Linked DNA regions of Caenorhabditis elegans. The protein of the gene in region 2 interacts with the protein of the main gene of each other region in a pairwise test. Each region holds a gene or a part of one and is shown on either strand. Other genes may lie near its edges.

Region 1 (3,489 bases), 330 kb from region 2:
ACAGAGAAAGATTACCAGTATCTATTCGAAGTTCAGCTTGGATTCTACGTCAAGATTTCCCCTTTGGAATTTCTTACCAAGTTTTGCCAATTTGCCAATTTCTCACCCAAGTTAGCTCACGGCTTACCAAACTTCCTTCATTCTCTAATGCAAATCATCTCACCACACTTTGAACCAACTTTTAGCAAATTTTCAATGAACTTCAACCCAAGAGCTTGGCCAAGTTTAATAAATTTTAATTATTGATCGATATGGAGAACTTTTTTAAAATTCTCGCCCACAACTTGCCAAAGTTTGGTTGAAGTCTGGCTATTTTTGAATTTCTATATGTATCAGGCATACATTAAGTGAAGGTCTTCCGTGATGGGCAGGCGCGGCGTGAGAGCCTACCTGGAACCTACCTGCCTCACGTCACCCAAAGGCATTAAAGGCGCGAGGCAGGTGAAGGTCTCCTTAAGGTCAGCTAGGCATCTTGGCGCCTACATGAAATACCCTGCATTATAGTCAAGATGAGTTTGACTTCATTGAATCAAATTCACGTAGAGGATTGAGTTATTCGGAATAGTTTCTAGACATTTTACTTCATTCGTCTCCTTCGCCACATTATTTGCTCCTTTTTCTGTTTCATCCTTGAATTCTGCATTGAAAATCGTGTGATACCATGCTGGATAGCAATGAATCTCCGCACGAGGATAGACACTTCGAACCGAGAAATAGTCAGGGCACGCCGGATTCAAAATAATAGCATCAAAAAGTGAAGTCATCGGTTGTGATGGGGAGAAGCTCAGAATTAATCGAGAACCATTGGGGTATCGTACTAGAAGACGGAGGGGTCCTTGTGATACAGTTCCTGGAATAGGCCAGCTTGCATTATTTGCAACTATGGGTTCTAAATTACCTTTCAACTTCTCTCTGTAATCCTGAATGGTTTTCTTCCTCAGCTCCTTCTGTTCAGCTTCAAATCTAATTTTATCCTTTTCTTCTTTCTTTGCAATATCCTTGGCAAGACTCTCCGCATATTCTTTGTTCTGAAATTCTAACTTATCACTGTCATAATCCGAATCTAACCTGTTGGCTCAACAGAGCACGATCCTCCGCAAACTTCTCCTTTTGTACGTGATTGTTAGTTGGCATCGTCTAGTGGTAGTTAGTGAAAATGTGGTAATGATTTTTTTGTTGAAAATTTGCTATCAGAATTTGACGTTGCAAAGTCTAAATTTTATTTATTTTTGAATTCACACGTTTTCTTTTCAGGATTTTTTAAAACTAATATATTTTTAAGAGTACTTTCTAACAGTTCAAAAAATTCAAATACTTTCCAATTTCCAATTTCTAATAACAATTCAAAAACTATAATTTTCAGGCTTCACTCATACACATGTATTCTGGGAGAAGGCGGCTTCTGTACATTAGACAAGTTTTGGTTCCCGGATGATAAAGAAGGATGCACGTATCTTCGTCCGTGGTCGCATAAAGTGGCAGAGTGAGTGAAAGTGTGTGTGCGTTGGAAAATAATTATGTCAGTAGTATGTAATTATCAACTTTTGATAGATATTTAAGAATTGAACTTTTACCAAAAAAATGGTTAATCTTTATTCCGAAATTTGTGATTTCCAATGGGATCCGTTTCGTAAAAATCTAGAAATTCTCATTTTGGAGCGAATTCCAAAAAAAAAAAGAAATAAACCAAAATTGGAAAATATAGTTTTTAAAAGGAGAATTCTTCTTCTTTTTCTATCGATGTTTTTTGTGGGTTTTCTGAGTTTCACACCAATTAAAAAAAATTTTAAAGCTTAATCTCCATTATGGCTACACCACCTTTAAAAATAGGGGTTTTCTGCAAAAAATTTCAATGGAATGGGGAAAGTTTTTTTCAAAAACATTTATAAATACACATTACCAAATTTAATAATTATTTAAATTTTCCAGCTGGTCCTTCTACTTTGTCCTCGAGAAGCGCCCCAGAAAGTACGGAAAAGCCTTTCACGAGCGTCAGAAGAAGCTGAAACGTCAGGCTTCAACCCCAAAACGTGAAATGAGCACAAAACCAATTGGACATCTCACTCTCTACGGAGTCGTTGATTGTGATAAAGTATGTGCTGGAAAAGAAGAAAAAAGTCTTGGATCGTATGCTGATGGAACATTCCATAAGGGAAGAGCACATCGCTTGAATTAAATTTGAAAATTTTGGGTGAGAATCTGATTTTTTATTTCTCTTTCTCTGTAACAAATTTTCTCTGTTTAATTCAAAAAAAGATACACTGTCAAAAAGTGTAAAACCCAAATCGATCTTCCACTGCTTCTGTTTGAACATAATTGTCTTTACATTTTCCTTTTATAGTTCCAGTTAACCTTGTCTAGAATCTCTCTCACTCTCGAAAATCTCCTAATCCTTTCTAGTTTTTGAATTTAGTATCTGATGCATGTACGCTCTACTATTGACACATCAATAGAGCGCACTTGCATTTTTTCCATTTTCATAATGCATTTTGGTCTTTTTCCGGTACAATTGATTGTCCTTCAAGGTAGGCATCGTTTCCCATTATTTCCTTCCTAAATTCCCCGGTTTCACACATTGTCTTTTGTATTTTATTTTAATTCTTTTACGAATTATTATACGTTCGTAATTTTTTCTGGAACGTATAATAATAACTATTTTTGAAATAAATCCTTGCCTTTTCATGTCTTTATTGCTCAGTTTTCTTGAAAAAAGAGGAAAATCTTGCTCTCCGTCTCTCCCGTGTTGTTTTTTTGTGCATAAAAAGATTTTTACATGCAAAACTGGATAAAATGAGTTAGTGTGAATAGGGGAAACGCGGCTCTCGGAGCAATTATTTAGTTCTCGAAATGCACTTTTTGTGTACCAAAACATCTTGTTGGTAAAAATATTAAGTAGGGGGTTATTATAGGGACGCAAAAAAATGCGATTTTTGAAGTCGAAATGCAAATGTGCTCCACTGAGAAATTAATTATTTATCGTTGTTTTTATGTCGAAATTATATAAATTCATAAAATTCGACATAAAATCATTAAAAACAACAAAAACATTTAAAATTCGAATTTCCGGATTCTATTCCTAACGAGACCCAACGTCTAGGGGCGGAGAGTGCCATAGAGCGCCCTTGCGCCTCGATTTCAAAAGATCCATAATAACTTTATTGCCAAGAATTTCAAATTTTCGACGAAATTCTCTAGATTTCCGGCTCCGCATGGCACACTTTAACTATGAAAATCTTTCCGGTAAACATGAAACTTTTGTGATTTTAACCATATTATCTCGAAACTAAACAATGGAGAAATATTTGAGTACTTGTCAAAATGCTCATATTGCTGCTCTCCGCCTAACCCTTTGTCTCCGGAGAGCACACGGGGGACATAGACATTGAGCTCTCTTCTTCAAACGTTCCAAACGTTCCATGCATAACTCCTTAGAGTATATACGCAAATGAGCCACGCAGCACGAGCCGAGAAAGAGAGAAGACTGTTTTG
Region 2 (6,280 bases):
AGCAGCCAGCGGTGCCAGAAGAGATGGTCACGAGTTCACACTTTTTATTCGTTTTTCGAATTGTCGCCGGTTCTTTTTCTTTTGACCTTCGGAAAGTCTGAAGGCTGAGAAGTCATTCGTATGCATCGAAAAGATCCATGAAACTGATTCTTGCCGCTTTTTTTGATTTATTTATTCGAGAGAGCGAATGGGTCACAAGATTCCCGGGCGACATTGGATGGCATGTGATCTCTGTCTCGCAGGCACCGTATTCAAAAGTGCATGCCGTTCAGTTGTGAAAAGACTGTTTTTTTGTGTCTCACGAGAAGAAATACGACTAAAGTAATGGAAAATAAATAGTAGAAATGCGACTTTCAGGCATGAAAAACCAATTTTTCTAGAAAAAAAAAACAAAAGCACTGTAGTGTGAATTTGTTCGTGACGGTGTTTCTTACAAAAATGTGCATATTTGCGGCAAATTTTGTGTTTTCAGATATTTTTAAGAATTTGAAAACTATTGGCACTTATCAGTTACTATCAATATTAATATCTGATCTAAAAGATTCATGTGACAGACAACGAGGACAAGGAATTTTTGAAAATTGGCCAGAAACGAGTTCAACAAGCTTGAAGATAAGCAACTATAGTACTCAATTCGGCATTTTCTTTGTTAAAAACCTCATGACTATGTACGAAATGCGTGCACTCCTATGAGTGTGGAGACAATATCGATGGAAAATGATATCAATGAATGAAAAAGCACTTCTACTTTCCAAAAGATCAAGAACAACTGGATCGCTAAATAGGTTTGATGATTGATATTAAAACCTGGTCCAAAAAATTACGTTAAACTTAGGCAACTTATCTTAAATACAGCTTCCCATTATCAACGGAACAACCAGTCATTGGTCATGAGACAATTCCACCTACACAATCACAAATAATAGTTTGAATATGGCAACACAATCGTACACAATTATGATTACAGACATCGTACATTTATATGTCAAAAACGGCAATACATACAAAACATTGGGAGGGATGCAAAAAAATAAATGGGATATACTTTTTGATCAACTGGGATGTAGGTATCTACAAATTTTTTCTTCTCGCGAAGATCATCCGTAACCATTAATTTCTAAAGCGAAAACATGGGCTCAATTACAATAAATAGTGGTAAATCGGGGGTTGGAAAGGGGTGAAATACGAGGTGAAAAAGTGGGTATGGGAGAAAATAAAACGAGTATCATACATAGACTCAGTAGATAAACTCAATACATTAGTTATAAAGGTCGTCATCATCCTGAGCAGGTACAGGGGCAGATGGGGCATCGCTTCCGCGTTGTTCTCCTGGGAATTTGAAGTTGTTTCCAAAGCCACGAGATTGTTGCAATGTTTGTGCAAACATTTCGTACCTACAAACATATTTTATAGACATACAATAAAACCATTATCAAAACTCACTTTCTGATGTCATTGTCTGTAACAGAGCGTCTGGCAAACTTCATGGCTTCCTCGAAGTGAGCACGAGTAATTTCTGGTACTGGATCAACTGCATCGTCTTCCATGAGCTCCTCACCGCGAGCTTGGCGATCTTGACGTTCCTTCTCAATCCGAATTTCCTTTTCGATCGATTCGCGAATAGCCAGCTTACACGCTCTGAAAATGTCATCGTTCACACCAGGAAAAATAGAATATCGGGGCCTTAGCGCGACTTTAGATACTCTAACTATTATAATTTACTGTGAGACGATTTTTTATATAGCACAAATATGACACTCGCGTAACCATGAACACAAAACTTGGCAGAATCTGAACTGCAAAACGCAGCTAAGAAGAGCCAAGAATGTGTAGATTTCGCAAGTTCTTAAGTTGTGCGTTTTGAACAAATTTTCAAATAATTAAATTACTCACCTCTGACAAATTTCGGTCAAATCGGCTCCAGAGAATCCAACAGTGTTTTTGGCCAAGAAGGTCAAGTCAAGATCCTTGGAGAGTGGGGTTTTACGAAGAGAAGCTTTCAAAATTTGGTGCCGAGAAGCTTCGTCTGGGAGTGGGATGTAGATAAGCTGATCAAGGCGACCTGGACGAAGAACAGCTGGATCAATGATATCAGGTCTGTTTGTAGCTCCGATGATGAACACATTTTTCTTCGCGTTCATTCCATCCATTTCGGTGAGCACTTGATTGATTACACGATCCGATGCACCTCCTCCATCACCGCCGGCGCCTCCACCTCTTGCCTTGGCAATCGAATCCAACTCATCGAAGAACAACACGCAAGGAGCAGCTGCACGAGCCTTGTCGAAGACATCACGGACGTTAGCTTCCGATTCTCCGAACCACATTGTGAGCAATTCTGGACCCTTGATGGAGATGAAATTGGCTTGACACTCGTTGGCAATTGCCTTGGCAAGAAGTGTCTTACCACATCCTGGTGGCCCATAGAACAAAACTCCTCTTGATGGCTGCATTCCAAACTTGAGATATTTTTCTGGGTGTTCCACTGGATACTGAACCAATTCTTGAAGTTCGCGCTTGACGTTTTGAAGACCTCCAATGTCGGACCAAGTTGTATTCGGAGTTTCGACAACAGCCTCGCGGAGAGCGGATGGGGAAGACTTTCCTTGAGCAAAACGGAAGTTTTCCATTGTGACAGCGAGTGAATTAAGAACCTCTGCATCAATTTGGTCATCTTCGAGATCAATGAGCTCCATCTTTTCACGAATCTGTTGAAGAGCGGCTTCCGAGCACAACGATGCCAAATCGGCACCAACGAATCCGTGACATTCATTTGCAATTTGTTCAAGATCAACATCATCCGCGAGCTTCATGTTTTTCGTGTGAATGCGCAGAATCTCAAGCCGGCCGACTGCATCTGGAATTCCGATATCGATTTCACGATCGAATCTTCCGAAGCGACGAAGAGCACCGTCAATCGAGTTTGGACGATTTGTTGCAGCAATGACCACAAGGTTAGAACGACCCTAAAATAATTATTATTATCGAATCATATAAAATTTAAAAGCATACCTTGACTCCATCCATAAGTGTAAGCAATTGAGAAACAATTCTGCGCTCAACTTCTCCATTGGTCTTCTCGCGTTTTGGTGCAATGGCGTCAATTTCGTCAATAAACAGAATAGCTGGTTGATTCTTCTCGCATTCTTCGAAAGCCTTACGAAGATTTGACTCGGATTCTCCAGACATCTTTGACATTACTTCAGGTCCGTTGATAAGGAAGAAGAAAGATCCGGTTTCATTAGCAACAGCACGTGCAATAAGAGTCTTTCCTGTGCCAGGTGGACCGAAGAGAAGAATTCCACGTGGTGGCTTGATACCAATAGCCTTGAAAAGTTGGGGATGTCGAAGTGGCAGTTCAACCATTTCCTTGATCTGAGCCAATTGCTTCCGAACTCCTCCCAAGTCATCATAACCAATATCATTCATGCTCTCTTCTTCTTCTTCTCTCTTGATCGGATCTCCTTCGTAGTGAATCATGGTATCAGGTGACACAATGCAGGCTGGAGCTGGCTCAGTTTCGACAACTTTGAATTCCACAGTTCTCATGGCAGCTTGAACAGTGAATATATCTCCCTTGTGAAGTGGGCGGTAAGCCTCCAGGAAGTATGGCTTGAGGAAAACATCGAACAAGTTTCCAGTGAGTCCTTCGATAGTGTCATCAATAGGGAGCACGTGAATGCGGGTTCCGTAACTGAGATTTGGAGCTGGCGTAATGCTCACGACGTCTCCGAGGCGAATACGAAGATTGTTGCGGACAACACGGTTCATGCGAACTTTCTCGTTTGGACAGGACTCATCAGAGACAATGATGGCGACAGATTCCTTTCGCTTCTTTCCCTGCAAAAATAATCATTAGAATCGAAAAATAAAATTTAATTGTGTGACAACCGTTTAAAAATCGAGATCAGCACCTTTGCGTGGTGTTAGGATTACGAAATACTTTGAAACGATTCGTTACTTGATCTATATCGCACAACTATGACACTCATAAAACCATCAGCAAATAAACAGTACTAGCTTCAAAACAGAACGTTTTTCAGCCTATATTGTAAATCACAGACATTACAAGTTCTTAAATTGTGCGTTTTAATCAAAAATTAAAAAGAAACACATACCTTCAGGATGACAGCATCTCCACGGAAAAGTCCCAGTTCGTCCATTTTAGCTTGGGAAACTGCGATGACGGAATTATCATCCTGCTCGGACTGATCGACGATCAAGCGATTCGGCTTTACCTTGTCCTTGAGAATAGCTGTCGACAGCTCATCATTTTTCTTCTCTTTTTCGCTTTGATGCGTTGGAACCGAGGCCATTATGTACAATTTAAGACCTAAAATAAGAAGAATGAGTGTCCAAAATGATAGTGGGAACGAAACTATAAAAGAAAATTGAGATTTTAAAAAAGTTCACGAAATTATTTCTAAAAACGACACAGATTTGAAAATTGTCATCATCCACGCATATAGAAGCGTGTTTTCAACAAGTGTACGCAAAAAGTGTTTGGTGATTCTGACGTTAGGGCGCGGTTGCTTTATAATTTTAGCGCGAAGTTTGAAAAGGATTTTCACTGTTCAAAAAATTTTAAAATTTCTAAATAACGAGACGTATTTGTAAATATTTGCGATGAAAAGCGTTGAAACTTCAAAAAAGTTCTTTGAAAACGGAAACGCAGTTTACAATTTTTTGAAATTTTTCGGAAAAAAGGAACTAGTAAATAAAATCTACCGTTTGCACGTTTGCGGTAATGTATGTAGCTGGGTCCAGGATGAAAATATGAAAAGGAAAAAAAGTGGACTGTAATGTAATGCTGGTTTGGAAAAATAACTGTTATTTGCAATAACGCACATCAGCGTTTGGGTCTCGAAACGATATGCCGTTAGTAAATGCAGCACTTTGTAGATCGATAAAAATGATTTGCAGCATCACCCGATCGATAGACGGAGAACGAAGAGATGTGAAACGAGACGAGAGGAGAATAGTCTTAAGATTTTGATTCTTGATAGTTTCCCAGATCTATGAATTTAATAAGTTGAATAATTTCCAAATTATTTATTCCCGATCGAGAATTAGAATAAATTAAACAAATAGATTAATGGATTAACATTTGCCATTGGATGGTCTTCTTTTGATTCCAAGAGCACGATTAGCTTCATCAATTTGAAGTTTTTGAAGGGAACGACGTTTACGACCTCCACCTCCACATCCACAGCATCCGCATCCGCAACCACATCCACAACAGCATGGTCTACAGCAGGTACAACATCTAGTACAGCAACAAGTTCTACAACAAGTACAACAACATTTGGGTCTACAACAGCAGCAGCATCTTGGTCTGCAACAGCAACATCCACATCCACCACCACCTCCTCCACATCCACAACATCCACAACATCCTCCATTTCTTTTAACACGAGAAGATCCGATAATTGATGTTTCAGATGAAATTATAGATATTTCTGTTGTTGATACTGGCAAAACTCCTGATTCAACCTATAAGTTTCTTAAATACGAGAACTAAATCTATTAATCTAACCTGTGAAATCGATACAATTGTATAAATCAGTACAACTAATGTAGATCCAATTATGAATTTGGTCATTTTGATCGAATAGAAACTGATGAATATCTCAATTTTATGGTGCTTTTATATAACTTTTCCATGATCCAAAGTGTCTTAGTTTTTGTGTTCAATTTCCATGACGCGGCTCGCGCGGAGAGATCACAAAAAATGGTTTCCGGCAAAAGTGTCAAATGAGAGACGACAAACACGTAAGAAGAAGAGGGTATTTAATGGATGGAAATTCGAAAACCATATCGAACGCTAATAATCTGAAATGAATAAGATCGTACTTCTGACTCTCTTTGCCCTTATTGCTATTTCACAGGTATCGGTAAAGGTTCTAAATGTTAGAAAACACAATACTATTATAGGTTGAATCAGGAGTTTTGCCAGTATCAACAACAGAAATATCTATAATTTCATCTGAAACATCAATTATCGGATCTTCTCGTGTTAAAAGAAATGGAGGATGTTGTGGATGTTGTGGATGTGGAGGAGGTGGTGGTGGATGTGGATGTTGCTGCTGCAGACCAAGATGCTGCTGCTGTTGTAGACCCAAATGTTGTTGTACTTGTTGTAGAACTTGTTGCTGTACTAGATGTTGTACCTGCTGTAGACCATGCTGTTGTGGATGTGGTTGCGGATGCGGATGCTGTGGATGTGGAGGTGGAGGCCGTAAGCGTCGTTCCCTTCAAAAGCTTCAAATTGATGAAGCTA
Region 3 (4,491 bases), on a different chromosome or scaffold from region 2:
GTTTTCTCGTTATTGAAAGTTGGATTATTTTGCTTTTTCAGGTATGCTCAAGAAATGCGAAAGCATTCATGCTTCGTAAGTGGAAGGAGCTCAAACCTCCTGGAGTGAGAACTCCGACAAAGAACTGATCCACCTCTTCAATCTTCAACATCCAGCCATTGTAGGCAATTATGGTATTTTATGTTTGTATCCCAACTCGTATAATTTGTTTCTCCGTTCTCTCGATTTGCTTCAGCTATCCTACTTTCTTTTTTTTTGTATTTTATTCGATTCTTTCGCCGTATCAATAAATTAGTATTTATTTTAATGATTTTTTGGTGTTGTAGATGTAATTTTTGTATTGAGACTTGACTTTTTCCTGCAGAATCTTGACTATTTTCGAGTGATCTTTTGTGAAGCTATCGACTATTTGGACCTTTTTCTGCAAAAAATAGAGTTGGCTTTCAAAACAGCATTTTCTCCAGGTTTTTTCATTCATAGAAGTTTGGATAAGAAACCACTCCACCCATCACTGACATCGCTGAAGGTTCATCAGCTTCATGGCCGAGCTCCTTGAATATTGAATTTTTCGATTCAACAAAAAAATTTCAATTGAAAAAGTCCATTTGTGTGTTTTCGGAAGCACAGACGCTAGCCAGAATTTATGATCTAAACAAGTTCTGCAATTTTTTAAACCTTACAAGGCATTTTTGTAACAAGTGAATAGTTCTATAATATTAGTTATTTCATTTTTTTCTCCGGAGATCTCCTTCAATTTCATCTCTGAATCACACTTATCAAAGAATAATATATTCAAATAAATTTATCCTGTACAAAAAAGTGGCGATGAACTTTTACAAGGTTATGTGAAGTGAAAGATGTTATTCATAGCACAATTGGCCAGATTCGAGACATTAACGGGCTCCTCTCAGTGTTCGATTGCCTCCACGGAAGACATTTGACGGTTGTCCTGCCTTGCTGGCTTCTTTCTCTCGGAGCTCTTTTTCGAGAACATCAACACGTTTATAATCATAACGAAGGAATGAAACACGACCTGAAAATCATAAAATTTAACTTTTCAATTATTTTGAAATGTTTATTTCAGATGAAACAAGTATTACCTGGTTTGTAGTCTTCATTGACAACCACTGGTGGAATAGCTGGCAAATCATTCGCCACTGGAGCTGCATTACTCGTACTAACACCGGTTCCATCTGAGAGTGATACTGAAGATGATGGCTTCTTCTTTCCATCGAGACGACGCCCAGCTCCTCCGAATACAGAAGTTGCATTTTGTCCTGTCCCTCCACTACCACCAGCTTTTTGTCCAGCTCCAATAAATGCGGATGCATCTGGCGCAGGCGGCTTGGCAGTGACAGCAGGAGTCACCTGTCTCGGTTGTTCAACGTAGCCTTCTGGAGGATCGAAATCGAGATTAACATCACATTCAATGATGCACACAGAGTTGGCCGGTTTCAAATCAACGACGAGGAATTCGAGAGTTTGTCCAGCATATGATGTTGGGATCCGATCGTTTTTGGTGAGGCATGCATATTTTCGAAGTTCCACTTCAAGAACAGCTCTGAAAAATAGAAAAATATAGGACTTTGTTCAAAAACTTCAAAAAATTATTAGAGTTTATGAAAACTCACTTTGGATTAGTAATATTCAGAAACTCGAGTGACATCGGCTTCAATTTAGCAAACGTGGCTTTCGGAAGAGTTGCAGACTCAATGCGAATGGTATCTCCATCGTCAAGTCCCAATTGCTGCATCATCCAAAGTGGCAGAATGGCTTGTCCTTCTGGAGCAGAAAATTCAAGAACACCGCAATGAGTTACACGTTGAACAGCCATATTGGTTAGCTGTAAATTTTAATGGTTTTCTAGTTACTTCAAGCTATACAAAACAAACCTTGAAAAGCATTGGCATCGGAATATTATATTGCATGAGCAAGTTGAGAGCAGATGACGGCAGAAGAATCTTTCCACCATAATTGATTTCGCTTATTTTTGACTGTGTTGCATTGGGAAGGAATACGGGCCCATATACCTGAAATTTAATTGTTTATTAACGCTGAAATATAATCTTTGAAATCCAATTTATTATTTACAATGAGATCGAAATGACGAGTAGTTCGGCGAAGTTGTTGTTGAAAAAAGTTTGCAAACATCTTTCGAAATGAATTTTAAAAGCTCACCACAAAAGTTTGATCATAATTCCCGACTCGGCCGCCCATCTGCATCCCGTGAAGTCCTTGTTGTATCCACGCTTGCATTTTTATTTTTGGTTTTCTGAAAAGTTATTAACGTTTTCTTCAACTATAATTCAAAAAATACAAAGAGGATGAGCCAACCAAGAAAAGAGAGCTCATTGATCATTTAAATATTTAACAAACTGCAATTTATTATAGAAAGAAATTACTAAAATGCACGTGTGAAGGAAACTTGACAAAAATTGAAGAAAAACACAATGAACAACATGAAAAAGAGAATGCGTGAATGGATGATGATATTAAAACCGATTCCTGCAACGACAAACGCGCTCCGTTGAACAAAAAAGAAATGGAACAACGAGAAAACCGAATGTCGTGTACAGATTTTTGTGTGGAAACGCGCAAAGATGTAGAGGGAAGAATTTAACCGTCACAAACAACGCGAAAAAACACTAGAAAGAACAGGGTATAAATGAATTATCGAGCTGAATGCCAGAAATCATGAAGAGAAGTCAATAAAATGAAGAACGGAAAAAAAGGACGACAAAAAATGAAATAGCATATAAAATTTCAACAACAAATGGAAACAAAATGTATAGAAGGATGGATATGATGATGGGAAAGAAAGAACATTATGAATAATTATAATTATAATAATAAAGTTAGTGAAAAGGAACAAGAAAGTAGGAATTCATCAGATGAAATGGAAGGAAAACAGAAACTTTGATAAATTATGAAGAAAATTGATCATTTTTGTGATAACAGATGATCACATATCGAATGGCTCGTCCATGTCTTGTTCGAGCCCGGTTCCGTAATATCGATCACCAAAATTGCCCATTCCGGGAATCAGATAGCAATTTTCCGTCATTTGGTGGTCCATTGCGGTGGTGATTAATTTAACCTGAAAATTAATAATTTTTAATTCAAATAAAAAATTGTAAACCTTCGGGAAGGCATAAGCCAGTGCATGTGCACCTTGTTGACCCATAAGCAGAGATGCAACAAATATGTCTTCCTCTTTAACATCATGATCAAGAAGTACACGAATTGCCATCATCGCAGCACTCCCAGTAGTTACGGTGGCGTCCATAATGATAACTTTGTATCGAGTTATGTGTGGTGGCAAACGTATATAATGAAGTTCTGGATCAAACGTCGTCTCGTTGGTTTGAATCAAAATTTTTCCGATCACGCAGTCCTTGACGATTGAGCGAAGAGCAGTCTCCATACATTCGCCGGCTCGCATGATTGGAAGACCACAAATCTGAGCGTCCTTTCGTTTGCCAATAGTTCTGAAATAAAAATTAAAGTTTCTAGATGGTTGAGCCTATTTTAGACGTTTTCAATTGTTTAGTTTTCAAGTTTTATTTAGAAAAAGTTTATTCTTATATTGGAAACAATAGAACATTAATATCCGAATATCCGAAACCAAGATCTGAAACTTTGCAATTCTTAAGCCGAAAATACGGTAGCCGGTCTCGATTCGACAGATTTTTTGCTGAAAGAGCGCCTTTAAAGATTACTGTAATTTTAAATTACTGCAGAATTTTTATTGATTCTTTGTAGTTTTTCTATAAAAATTATTTCTGTATTAAAAAACTTGATTGAAACCATAAACAAAACTTAAAATAAAACAAAAAATCCGCAGTGATAAGAAATTGAAACTACAGTACTATTTCAAGGCGCACACTTTTGTTTAACAAACATTTGTCGTGTCGAGACCGGGTACCGTATTTTTGCAGTCAGATTCAGAAATTTCAGAAAGGTTGGCGCTGATTTCAGATTTCAAAAAGGAATTTTCAAATCTTGCAGTGACCATTTTTCAGTTTCAAATTTACTCACTTTCTACCGCCGGCCATCTCAATCTCAACATCTTTGTAAGGCATATGATTCATGCATTCTTCAATAAGAATACGCATTAATCGATCAGAATAGAAAATATGATTGTCTCTACTCGTTTCTCGATCACGAACAAACGTGACAAGACCTTTGACCTGTGGAGTTTCTTTTAAAATGAACAGGTTTTCCGGCAAACAATCCGGTAGATCGTCGCGAACCAAATCGTGACGATCACGGTTGTTCTGATTGCGATCGTATCCGCGTTCAACGAGCTGTGCCATCACGTTCTGCACGATCATGTCGATGGCGACGTCGTTCTCTCCACCGCGCGGAACGATGAGATCAGCCGAATCCATGCATGGTGCAATGTATTTGTCGAACGCCGGCTGCAACTCGAAAGTTACTTGAGACGACGAGTTACAACAATTCTCTTACTTTTACAAATGTAAAGTACTG
Region 4 (8,198 bases), on a different chromosome or scaffold from region 2:
TATGAATTTTGAGCCGAGACTCATTCCCCCTAAATACCATTCAATTGTATCTAACAATTTTACATTCTAAATTTCTTCCGATTTGAATAAATATGTTTAACATCTATTCCGTTTTGTTTTATGAAGATTGTAGTAGACAAGTAGTAGAAAACTCTAATTCACAATCACCTGATTTTTATAGAGGGATAGAGGACAACAGAGCAAGCGGGAAAGATGTAGGTCACAATAGGAAACAACTTCCATGGTAGGCAAGCGCGTTTTCAGGGACCTGCCCGCCAGCCTTCCTGCTCATTGTTTGCATTTTTACGTGAATTTACAAATTTATTATATAATTTTCTCATTTCTATAAATTTGATAAATATCAAATCACTAGTTAGCATAAGAAGCGGGTTGTGGCGAGAGGCAGGCGGAGGTTGGAACTTTATACAGACGTGACCTTTCGGTCATCATGAACTTATCGCGTAAGCGACCTCTCTTTATAATTCATTACTTCTTACACTCTCTTGTAATAAACTTCTTCTCTCCTTGTCACTCGCTCAATACACAACAATAATTTTTTACTTGGAAATTGTTTTAGCATCTGCAAAAAGTATTTATTTATCAGTTTTAATAAGAAAAAACGGGAAAAAGCTGTGAAAAACGAAAGAAAACAGGCGGAAAACAAAGCAAGATAAATGGCCGCTGAAACTTGTCGGCCCCTCGGCCATGGCCTAGAAACCACTTTTCCTCGTCCCTCGTAAGGAAAAAGTTGCAGTGAAGGATCCCGTGGTTTCCCGAGCAATTTGAAATTGTCAAATTAAGTTCAAAAACCAAATGATGGTTTGAAACTACAGGAATAAATCGGTATCCTGTGTCACGTAGCCTACTTGACTTGGAGTAGGATGGCTCTAAAGTTTCGGAACATTTGCGGAAACTTGGGTTGATCATGATGTGTGTAAAGGAATGAAGCTACCGTATAATACCTGCATGCAAGAATAATTTTGATTAGTCCATTTGCAGATTTTTAAAACTTGTCGTTCAAAACAACGACTCACAGCCTCCTCACGTGGAAATGACCCAACAACAGGGGGCTTGCGCGTTTCTCGTGAGCGTGGGAAAATTTTGCCGTTGAAAAGTAATTTCCTTCAGTTTTCATGGGTTTGAAATCGATTTCAAACTTTTTAATTACGTATCAATTGTAAAGCTACTTGAGGGTAAGGTGAAGGAAAAAAAAGATTTTTGATTTTTGTTCAAAAATAAAAGCGATGATATAAAAAGAAAAAAACATCTAAAAATTGAGTTTTTCTCATATTTCGTATATTTATCATCATTTTTCTAGTGGAAATTGATGTATATTTGAAAAGTAATCTTCCACCAAAGCTTATGTTATAAAAAATATGAAGAAAAACAGTAAATTGAACGTTTTCGGTAATTTCTCAATTTTCCACGCGATGCACGAGAAGTGCGCCAATGGACCGACTTTAAATTTTTTTTTCTCATAGTCAGTGGGATTTTTTTTCAATCTGATGGTTTCTTGATGCTTTTGAGTAAAATTTTGAATATTAAAAATAAAGACATTTCAAATATATTATCAAAATCCACTTTTAGACGTGATTTCTCAGAAAAATTAGAATTTTTCCTCGATTTCAGGTAAAATTTCAGTTCACAATTGTTTTTTAAGTTTTTCCCCAAAGAAACTGTTGATTTATTATCAATTCGCAGAATTTGGACGCTGCTGGAAACGTGCCCCCGACAAGAATTGCGTCAACAGCGGCTGCTGACGCACTTCCCGCACGCGCTGGCGCGTTTCTCGGCGCGTTTTATCATTATTATTTTGTTTCCTATTTCCATCGGTTTTTCGTCGTTCTTTTTTTGTTTTTCACTCATTTTTTCTCAAATTTAATATTTTTACAGTGAAAACCTTCAATTTTCCACCACAAAACCCCGGAAAAAATGAGCAGAAAGTGAGTGTCGCCCGCGATTTTCAACCTCAAAAATCGATAAATTACTTGCAGTATTCGCACGTTTCGTGACATTGGAAACAACGACGATGGGGGGCCGGACAGCGACGATTCAGGAGCCGATGCCGCCGAGAGAGGAGCCCCACAGGAATTTTACGCTGGAAGGTAGCCGCAATTCCTAGATTTTTTAATTAAAATTTTTTAAAACTTGGATTTTTCAGCGGACAAGCAGTTCAAGGACCACGTGGAGCTGCTGCTCGAGGCCCGGATAGTGAAGCCCACATTCGGAGAATCCTTCAGGCCGCCGAAGTGGTTCAGCCAGAGGGAGGAGAAGCTCCAAGAGGACGCCCGTCAGGGAGAGAAACTATTGTAAGCCGCGGTGGGCTGCTGAAATAGCTGAAAATCATTGATTTCTGCTCATTTTTTGCGCGGCGAATTTGCTTTAAAATCGATATTTTTTTGCAGAGCCTAACGCTTCACCTGTGGTCCGACGGCTTATCGATCGAAGACGGCCCGTTAATGTCTCGCCAGGACCCCAGAACTATTGAATTCTTGGAAAGCGTCGGAAAAGGGTACGGAATGACGGAAAATGGAGGATTTCTTGAAGAAAATCGAGAGAAAATTGGATTTTTTTGACGAGAAAATCAAGATTTTCGATCCAATTTTCACTGAAAATACAAAATACAAGATTTTTTCTTAACACATAAAAATCAGTTTTTTGGCAGGAAAATCATGATTTTATCGTTGAAAATGCAAAATTCTACTTAAAATTGGGACTTTTAAGCTGTTTTCATGTAGAATTTAGTCCAAAATTTGAGTTTTTCAAAGTTTTTTCATAGTAATCCTATTTTCAGCAAACTTTACCTGGAAATTGTCCAGTTTTCGCCAAAAAAAAAATCGATTTTCCCACGATTTTTATTGATTTTAACAAATAAAATATGTGAAAAATCTTCATTTTAAACTAATTTTCACTTAAAAAATGAGAAAATCTCGATTTTTTGGCCGAAAATTTAAAAATTTGATGCTAAAAATGCAATATTTCAGCTGAAAATTGCATTTTTTAAGTTATTTTTGGGCATTATTAGCTTAAAATTGATGTTTTTCACTGTTTTAAGCTGATTTTCAGCGATTTTCTCTTGAAAATTGTTCACATTTCGATTTTTTCCACTATTCTCCTCAGTTTTTAGCAGAAAAATCGACTTTTCTTCGAATTTGCTGATTTTAAAATCAAATTTCGTTTAAAAAAACTTTTATGAATTTTCACATAAAAATGATGAAAATTCTCCAATTTCTGTCGGAAGAATTCCTGAAAATGGAATTTTTATCTTTTTTTTTCAAAAAATTCAAAATTTTGCCAAAAAATCGATTTTTCTACAAATTAGTCGCTTTTAACAGCAATTTTCGTTGAAAAAAACTCAATTTTTATAACTTTTAGCATAGAAAATGTTGAAAATGGCTTAAAAATGTTCGAACTTCTTCAAGAAAAGTGCCAAAAAATTCATTTTTTTTCACATTAAAAAATTTTTTACAGAAAACCATGAAATTTCCAATTTTTCTCCAAAAATCTCCGATATTTCTCCCTGCAAATTTGAAAATTCCCCAAAAATAATTTTTGTGAAATGCCAATTTTCAGCCAAAAATTGATTTTCTAGCGATTTAGCCGTTTTAATATCAATTTTTACACATAAAAATCGGTTTTTTGGCAGGAAAATCATGATTTTATCGTTGAAAATGCAAAATTCTACTTAAAATTGGGACTTTTAAGCTGTTTTCATGTAGAATTTAGTCCAAAATTTGAGTTTTTCATATAGTTTTAATTTTATTTTCAGCAAACGCCAAAAAAATTTTGATTTTGCAACGATTTTTGGCGGCGATTTTAATATCAACATTTGTGCAAAAATGCCAATTTTAATCAATTTTCACATAAAAATTGAGAAAATCTCGGTTTTTTGCCTGAAAATTTAGCATTTTATCGCAAAAAACGCATTGTTTCAGTTGTAAATTGTTAAGAAACCGAGGAAACCTATATTTTAATCAGTTTTTTAGCAAAAAAATCGATTTTTCTACGAATTAGCTGATTTAAATGACAATTTTCGTTGGAAAAACTCAATTTTTATGAATTTTCACATAAAAATGATGAAAATTCTCCAATTTCTGTCGGAAAAATTCCAGAAAAGGCATTTTTATCCACTAAAAAAAATTCAAAATTTTCCAATATTTTCCTCAGTTTTTAGCAAAAAAATCGATTTTCCTACAAATTTGCAGATTTTAAAATCAAATTTCGTTGGAAAAACTCAATTTTGATGAATTTTCACGAAAAAATGTTGAAATTGGCTCAAAATTCTCCAATTTCTTCGAGAAAAATCCCAAAAAAAATGGAACTTTTTTTCCATTTTTTCAAAAAACTCAAATTTTTCCAATATTTTCCTCAGTTTTTAGCAAAAAAATCGATTTTTCTACAAATTAACCGATTTTAAAATCAAATTTCGTTGAAAAAAAACTCAATTGTGATGAATTTTCACGAAAAAAAAATTGAAAATTCTCCAATTTTTACCGAAAAAAGTGCCAAAAAATCCATTTTTCACTAATTTTTCTATTTTTTTTTTGTTTTTTTTCAGTGAAATCCCTCCATCACTTGTTCAACAATATCCGGGAAAAGAAATCGATTTCAAAGTGAACCGCCACCACGAGGAGTACGTTGCTCCGAAGATGAAGCCATTCGGCGGTAGTGGAGTCCGTTTGGGAAATGTTGTCCCAACAGTTTTGGGACAATCATCGTCGTCTGCCACCACTGCTGGGACATCATCTGCAACAACTGATCATAACCCGGATCATACTGCTGAAAATGAGGCAAAACAGCTGGAAGATGCTAAGAAGGAGCTGAGCACCAATATGAATGAGCCAACGACTAATGTACGGAGTTTGTACTACGGTTTTGGAGCAGCGAAAATTTTTGGAAATTTGGAGGAAAACTGCGGCTAAAATTGGCAGTTCTAAAAGAAAAATGGACGAAAAAATTCAGTAGAAATAGGCTAAAATCAACTGCAATTAGTAATTCAGTCCCCCCACAAAACTGACCTGAAAATGCAATAAATTAGAAGAAAAACGGTCGAAAATTACCTGAAAATCATAAAAATCGAAAAAAAAAATCGGTGGCCGAACTTTTCGATTTTCTAGGCCATCAGGTGAAAAGTTAGACCCCCCCACAAAACTGACCTGACCTATCACGCAGAATGTCAAAACAAAATTGGGGGACTAATTTTTCACTTGGTGGCCTAGAAATCCAAAAGTTCGGCCACCGATTTTTCATTTAATTTTTATGTTTTTCCGGTCATTATTGATAGTTTATCTTCGCATTTTCAGCCATTTTTCCACCTGAAAACTTACAAATAACGCTTCTTAAGCACCGCTTTGACACCTCCAATCTCCTTGACCATTTGGCCAAACTTTTGGATTTTATCGATTCCCAGCCACGCTTTCAGGGACATCTGTAATGTAAATTTGGTTGGAAAAATGGGATTTTTTTTCAGTAAAAAATATGAAATTTTAACGGAATGTGGGGGAAAAAAATTTGACCAAAAAACATTTTTTTCGCCATTTTTTGGCGAAAAACTCCATATTTCCTGTGAAATATGATATTTTTCGAGTTTTTCACTGAAAAATCTTGAATTGCTCGGAAAAAATCGGAAAAATCGATTTTTCAGTGGAAAATGTACGGAGTTTGTACGGTTTTGGAGCGAAAATTTGTGAAATTTGGAGGAAAACCGGCTAAAATTGGCAGTTTTAAAAAGAAAAATCAAAGAAAAAATTCAGTAGAATTAGGCTAAAATCAACTGCAAACTTTTGAAAATTAAATTTTAAATATATGTTATCAATTATACACTAGAAAAAACATCCCAGAATCAGTTTATTTCTGAAAAATTTCAAATCGGATAAAATAAGCTTCAAAAACACTCTAAAATTAAATGATTCTGATAATAAAATATTCAAAAATTCGCTTAAATTGGGAAAAAAAATCGGTGGCCGAACTTTCGGATTTCTAGACCATCAAGTGAAAAGTTAGTCCAGCCCATTTGAAAATAGCTAGACACAATTCAAAATGGCAAGAAGACGTTTGTGGAGGACTAACATCTCAGTTGGTGGCCTAGAAATTCAAAAGTTCGGCCATCGACTTTTAAAATTTTATTTTCTTCCAATTTTTCACAAAAATGTGCTGAATTACTAATTATTCGATGGGAAACCCGAAAAAAATCGGTGGCCTAACTGTTTTAAAAAGTCGGCCACCAATTTTTTTCGCGCAAATTTGACCGTTTTTTCGTCAATTTTCCAAATAAAAAATTGCTGGCCTAGAAACCCAAACCTCGGCCACCTATTTTTCACCTAAAAACCGTACCTAAACACACCATCAGGACGCTTTTCTGCTCTCCGACGCTCATTTTCTGGGAAAAAATCAGATTTTTTTCCTGAAAAAAACGTGAAAAATCAATAAAAATATCACAAAAAGGTCGTAAAATCCTTCAAAAAATCAATAAAAATTGGCAAAAAAAAATCGATAAAAATCTACAAAATTCATATGATTTTAAACACAAAAAAAACGGAGAAAAATCTACTTTTTCGAAAAAAAAAAATTTCAGGCTCTAATTATAGATTTTCAGTCGAATTGTGGCTTCTTTCCTGATATTTTGATTAATTTTAACAAAATTTTCAGATCCAAATCCGTCTGCCAAACAATCAGCGTCTCGTCGGTATTTTTAATCATTCTCACACACTTGAAGCAGTTCGTACATTCATTTGCACGTGAGTTTTCAGCCGGAAAAAGCTATTAAAAACTCTCATTTTTCACTAGAAAAAGTAGATTTTTAGAAAATTTCGAATTAAAAAAATAAAAAAATCATCTAAAAATCACATTTTTAGCCTGAAAAATTCGAAATTTTCCAATGAATAATTATTTTTTAATAATATTTTTCTGATATACACAGTGATAGAAAAATTACATTTTTCAAATTAAAAAATTACATTTTTCAAATTAAAAAATTACATTTTTCTAGTTTTTTCTTTCAAAAAACTCAAATTTTTTTAATTTAAAAATTTTGATTTTCCAGCGCCCGCCCAGATATGATCTACGCTCCATTCCAAATGATGGCTGCCTACCCTCCAAAACCATTTGAAGACGAATCACAGACTCTGAAGGATGCAAATGTGCTCAATTCGGTCGTCGCCGTGAAAATCTTGCCCACCACCAACTGAGGAGATTCCTGACGCTGCTTTTTTGGCGGGAAAATTGAAAATTGAAAATTTCATCTGAAAAAATTTCGAATTTCTACTCGTTTTTACCCCCCAAAACCTCTCAAATTCCCTGAAAATACCTGTATTTTACGCTAAATTATTTGATTTTTTCCCCCCATTTCCCAATATCGTTTTTTTTCTTTCTTCTATCACACTTTAATGCATAAAAAAAGTACACCGTTTTCTGTGAAAAATTGCGGCGATTTTTATTGATTTTTTGTTTTGGAATTTGCGAGTTTTTCAAGCTCTGAAATATTTTTTTTATTTTTTCCAGATTTTCAGAATTTTTCAATTTTTAGTGAAAAATGCACATTTTTTACAAATTTTCCATTAAAAATTCAATTTTAAAGTCAAATTTTGAATTTTTCAGATTTTTTCCCAATTTTTCAGAGAGAAAAATCCTTCTTCTGCGATTTTTTGGTGAAAAATTTAAAGTTTTCAAAAAATGTAAAAATTCACTTTTTTTGTTCCAATTTTCCACTGAAAAATCGATTTTTCCCTGATTTTTTTCAAAAAATTCAAGATTTTTCAGTGAAAAACTCGAAAAATATCATATTTCACAGGAAATATGGAGTTTTTCGCCAAAAAATTTATAAAAAATTTTTTTTTGAAAAAATTCACAAAATGCTTGGTTTTTCCTCCCCACATTCCGTTAAAATTTCCCATTTTTCCAACCAAATTTACATTACAGATGTCCCTGAAAGCGTGGCTGGGAATCGATAAAATCCAAAAGTTTGGCCAAATGGTCAAGGAGATTGGAGGTGTCAAAGCGGTGCTTAAGAAGCGTTATTTGTAAGTTTTCAGGTGGAAAAATGGCTGAAAATGCACTAAATTAGAAGAAAAACGGTCGAAAATTACCTGAAAATCATAAAAATCGAAAAAAAAATCGGTGGCCGAACTTTTCGATTTTCTAGGCCATCAGGTGAAAAGTTAGTCCCCCACACAAAACTGACCTGACCTATCACGCAGAAT

What was found.
Region 1: the proteins of cdc-48.1 (region 2) and ubxn-5 interact in a two-hybrid assay, tested with the Caenorhabditis elegans proteins (2 studies listed by BioGRID).
Region 3: the proteins of cdc-48.1 (region 2) and ufd-1 interact in a two-hybrid assay, tested with the Caenorhabditis elegans proteins (2 studies listed by BioGRID).
Region 4: the proteins of cdc-48.1 (region 2) and ubxn-2 interact in a two-hybrid assay, tested with the Caenorhabditis elegans proteins (2 studies listed by BioGRID).

What each region holds. Positions count from the first base shown.
Region 1 is NC_003280.10:10,233,333-10,236,821, forward strand, and holds ubxn-5 (UBX domain-containing protein 5), read right to left. Parts: upstream 1,167-3,489; 5' UTR 1,135-1,166; coding exon 1,069-1,134; intron 1,029-1,068; coding exon 899-1,028; intron 851-898; coding exon 522-850; 3' UTR 501-521; downstream 1-500. Other genes in the region: pugs-6 (BPTI/Kunitz inhibitor domain-containing protein), read left to right, coding at 1,364-1,483, 1,930-2,176. UniProt on the Caenorhabditis elegans protein: Probably acts as an adapter for ATPase cdc-48.1 and/or cdc-48.2, conferring substrate specificity. Unlike other UBX domain-containing protein does not bind 'Lys-48'-polyubiquitinated chain.
Region 2 is NC_003280.10:10,559,075-10,565,354, forward strand, and holds cdc-48.1 (Transitional endoplasmic reticulum ATPase homolog 1), read right to left. Parts: upstream 4,334-6,280; 5' UTR 4,317-4,333; coding exon 4,119-4,316; intron 3,991-4,118; exon of another isoform or gene 3,878-3,990; intron 3,841-3,877; coding exon 3,013-3,840; intron 2,967-3,012; coding exon 1,894-2,966; intron 1,861-1,893; exon of another isoform or gene 1,643-1,860; intron 1,639-1,642; coding exon 1,444-1,638; intron 1,395-1,443; coding exon 1,259-1,394; 3' UTR 957-1,258; downstream 1-956. Other genes in the region: C06A1.6 (uncharacterized protein), read right to left, coding at 5,101-5,493, 5,537-5,602; C06A1.7 (uncharacterized protein), read left to right, coding at 5,838-5,888, 5,935-6,280. UniProt on the Caenorhabditis elegans protein: ATP-dependent chaperone which probably uses the energy provided by ATP hydrolysis to generate mechanical force to unfold substrate proteins, disassemble protein complexes, and disaggregate protein aggregates.
Region 3 is NC_003282.8:12,328,619-12,333,109, forward strand, and holds ufd-1 (Ubiquitin fusion degradation protein 1 homolog), read right to left. Parts: upstream 2,273-4,491; 5' UTR 2,257-2,272; coding exon 2,179-2,256; intron 2,158-2,178; exon of another isoform or gene 2,152-2,157; coding exon of another isoform or gene 2,092-2,151; intron 2,031-2,091; coding exon 1,893-2,030; intron 1,844-1,892; coding exon 1,632-1,843; intron 1,562-1,631; coding exon 1,101-1,561; intron 1,034-1,100; coding exon 894-1,033; 3' UTR 790-893; downstream 1-789. Other genes in the region: F19B6.1 (Uridine kinase), read right to left, coding at 2,963-3,097, 3,140-3,488, 4,039-4,421, 4,471-4,491. UniProt on the Caenorhabditis elegans protein: Functions at a post-ubiquitination step in the ubiquitin fusion degradation (UFD) pathway. In association with npl-4.1 and/or npl-4.2 and ATPase cdc-48.1 and/or cdc-48.2, involved in the cytoplasmic elimination of misfolded proteins exported from the ER.
Region 4 is NC_003282.8:2,719,554-2,727,751, reverse strand, and holds ubxn-2 (UBX domain-containing protein 2), read left to right. Parts: upstream 1-1,932; coding exon 1,933-1,943; intron 1,944-1,994; coding exon 1,995-2,105; intron 2,106-2,161; coding exon 2,162-2,309; intron 2,310-2,405; coding exon 2,406-2,512; intron 2,513-4,558; coding exon 4,559-4,853; coding exon of another isoform or gene 4,854-4,922; intron 4,923-6,648; coding exon 6,649-6,737; intron 6,738-7,042; coding exon 7,043-7,187; 3' UTR 7,188-7,439; downstream 7,440-8,198. Other genes in the region: ndua-12 (putative NADH dehydrogenase [ubiquinone] 1 alpha subcomplex subunit 12), read left to right, coding at 7,918-8,018. UniProt on the Caenorhabditis elegans protein: Ubiquitin-binding protein which acts as an adapter for ATPase cdc-48.1 and/or cdc-48.2, conferring substrate specificity.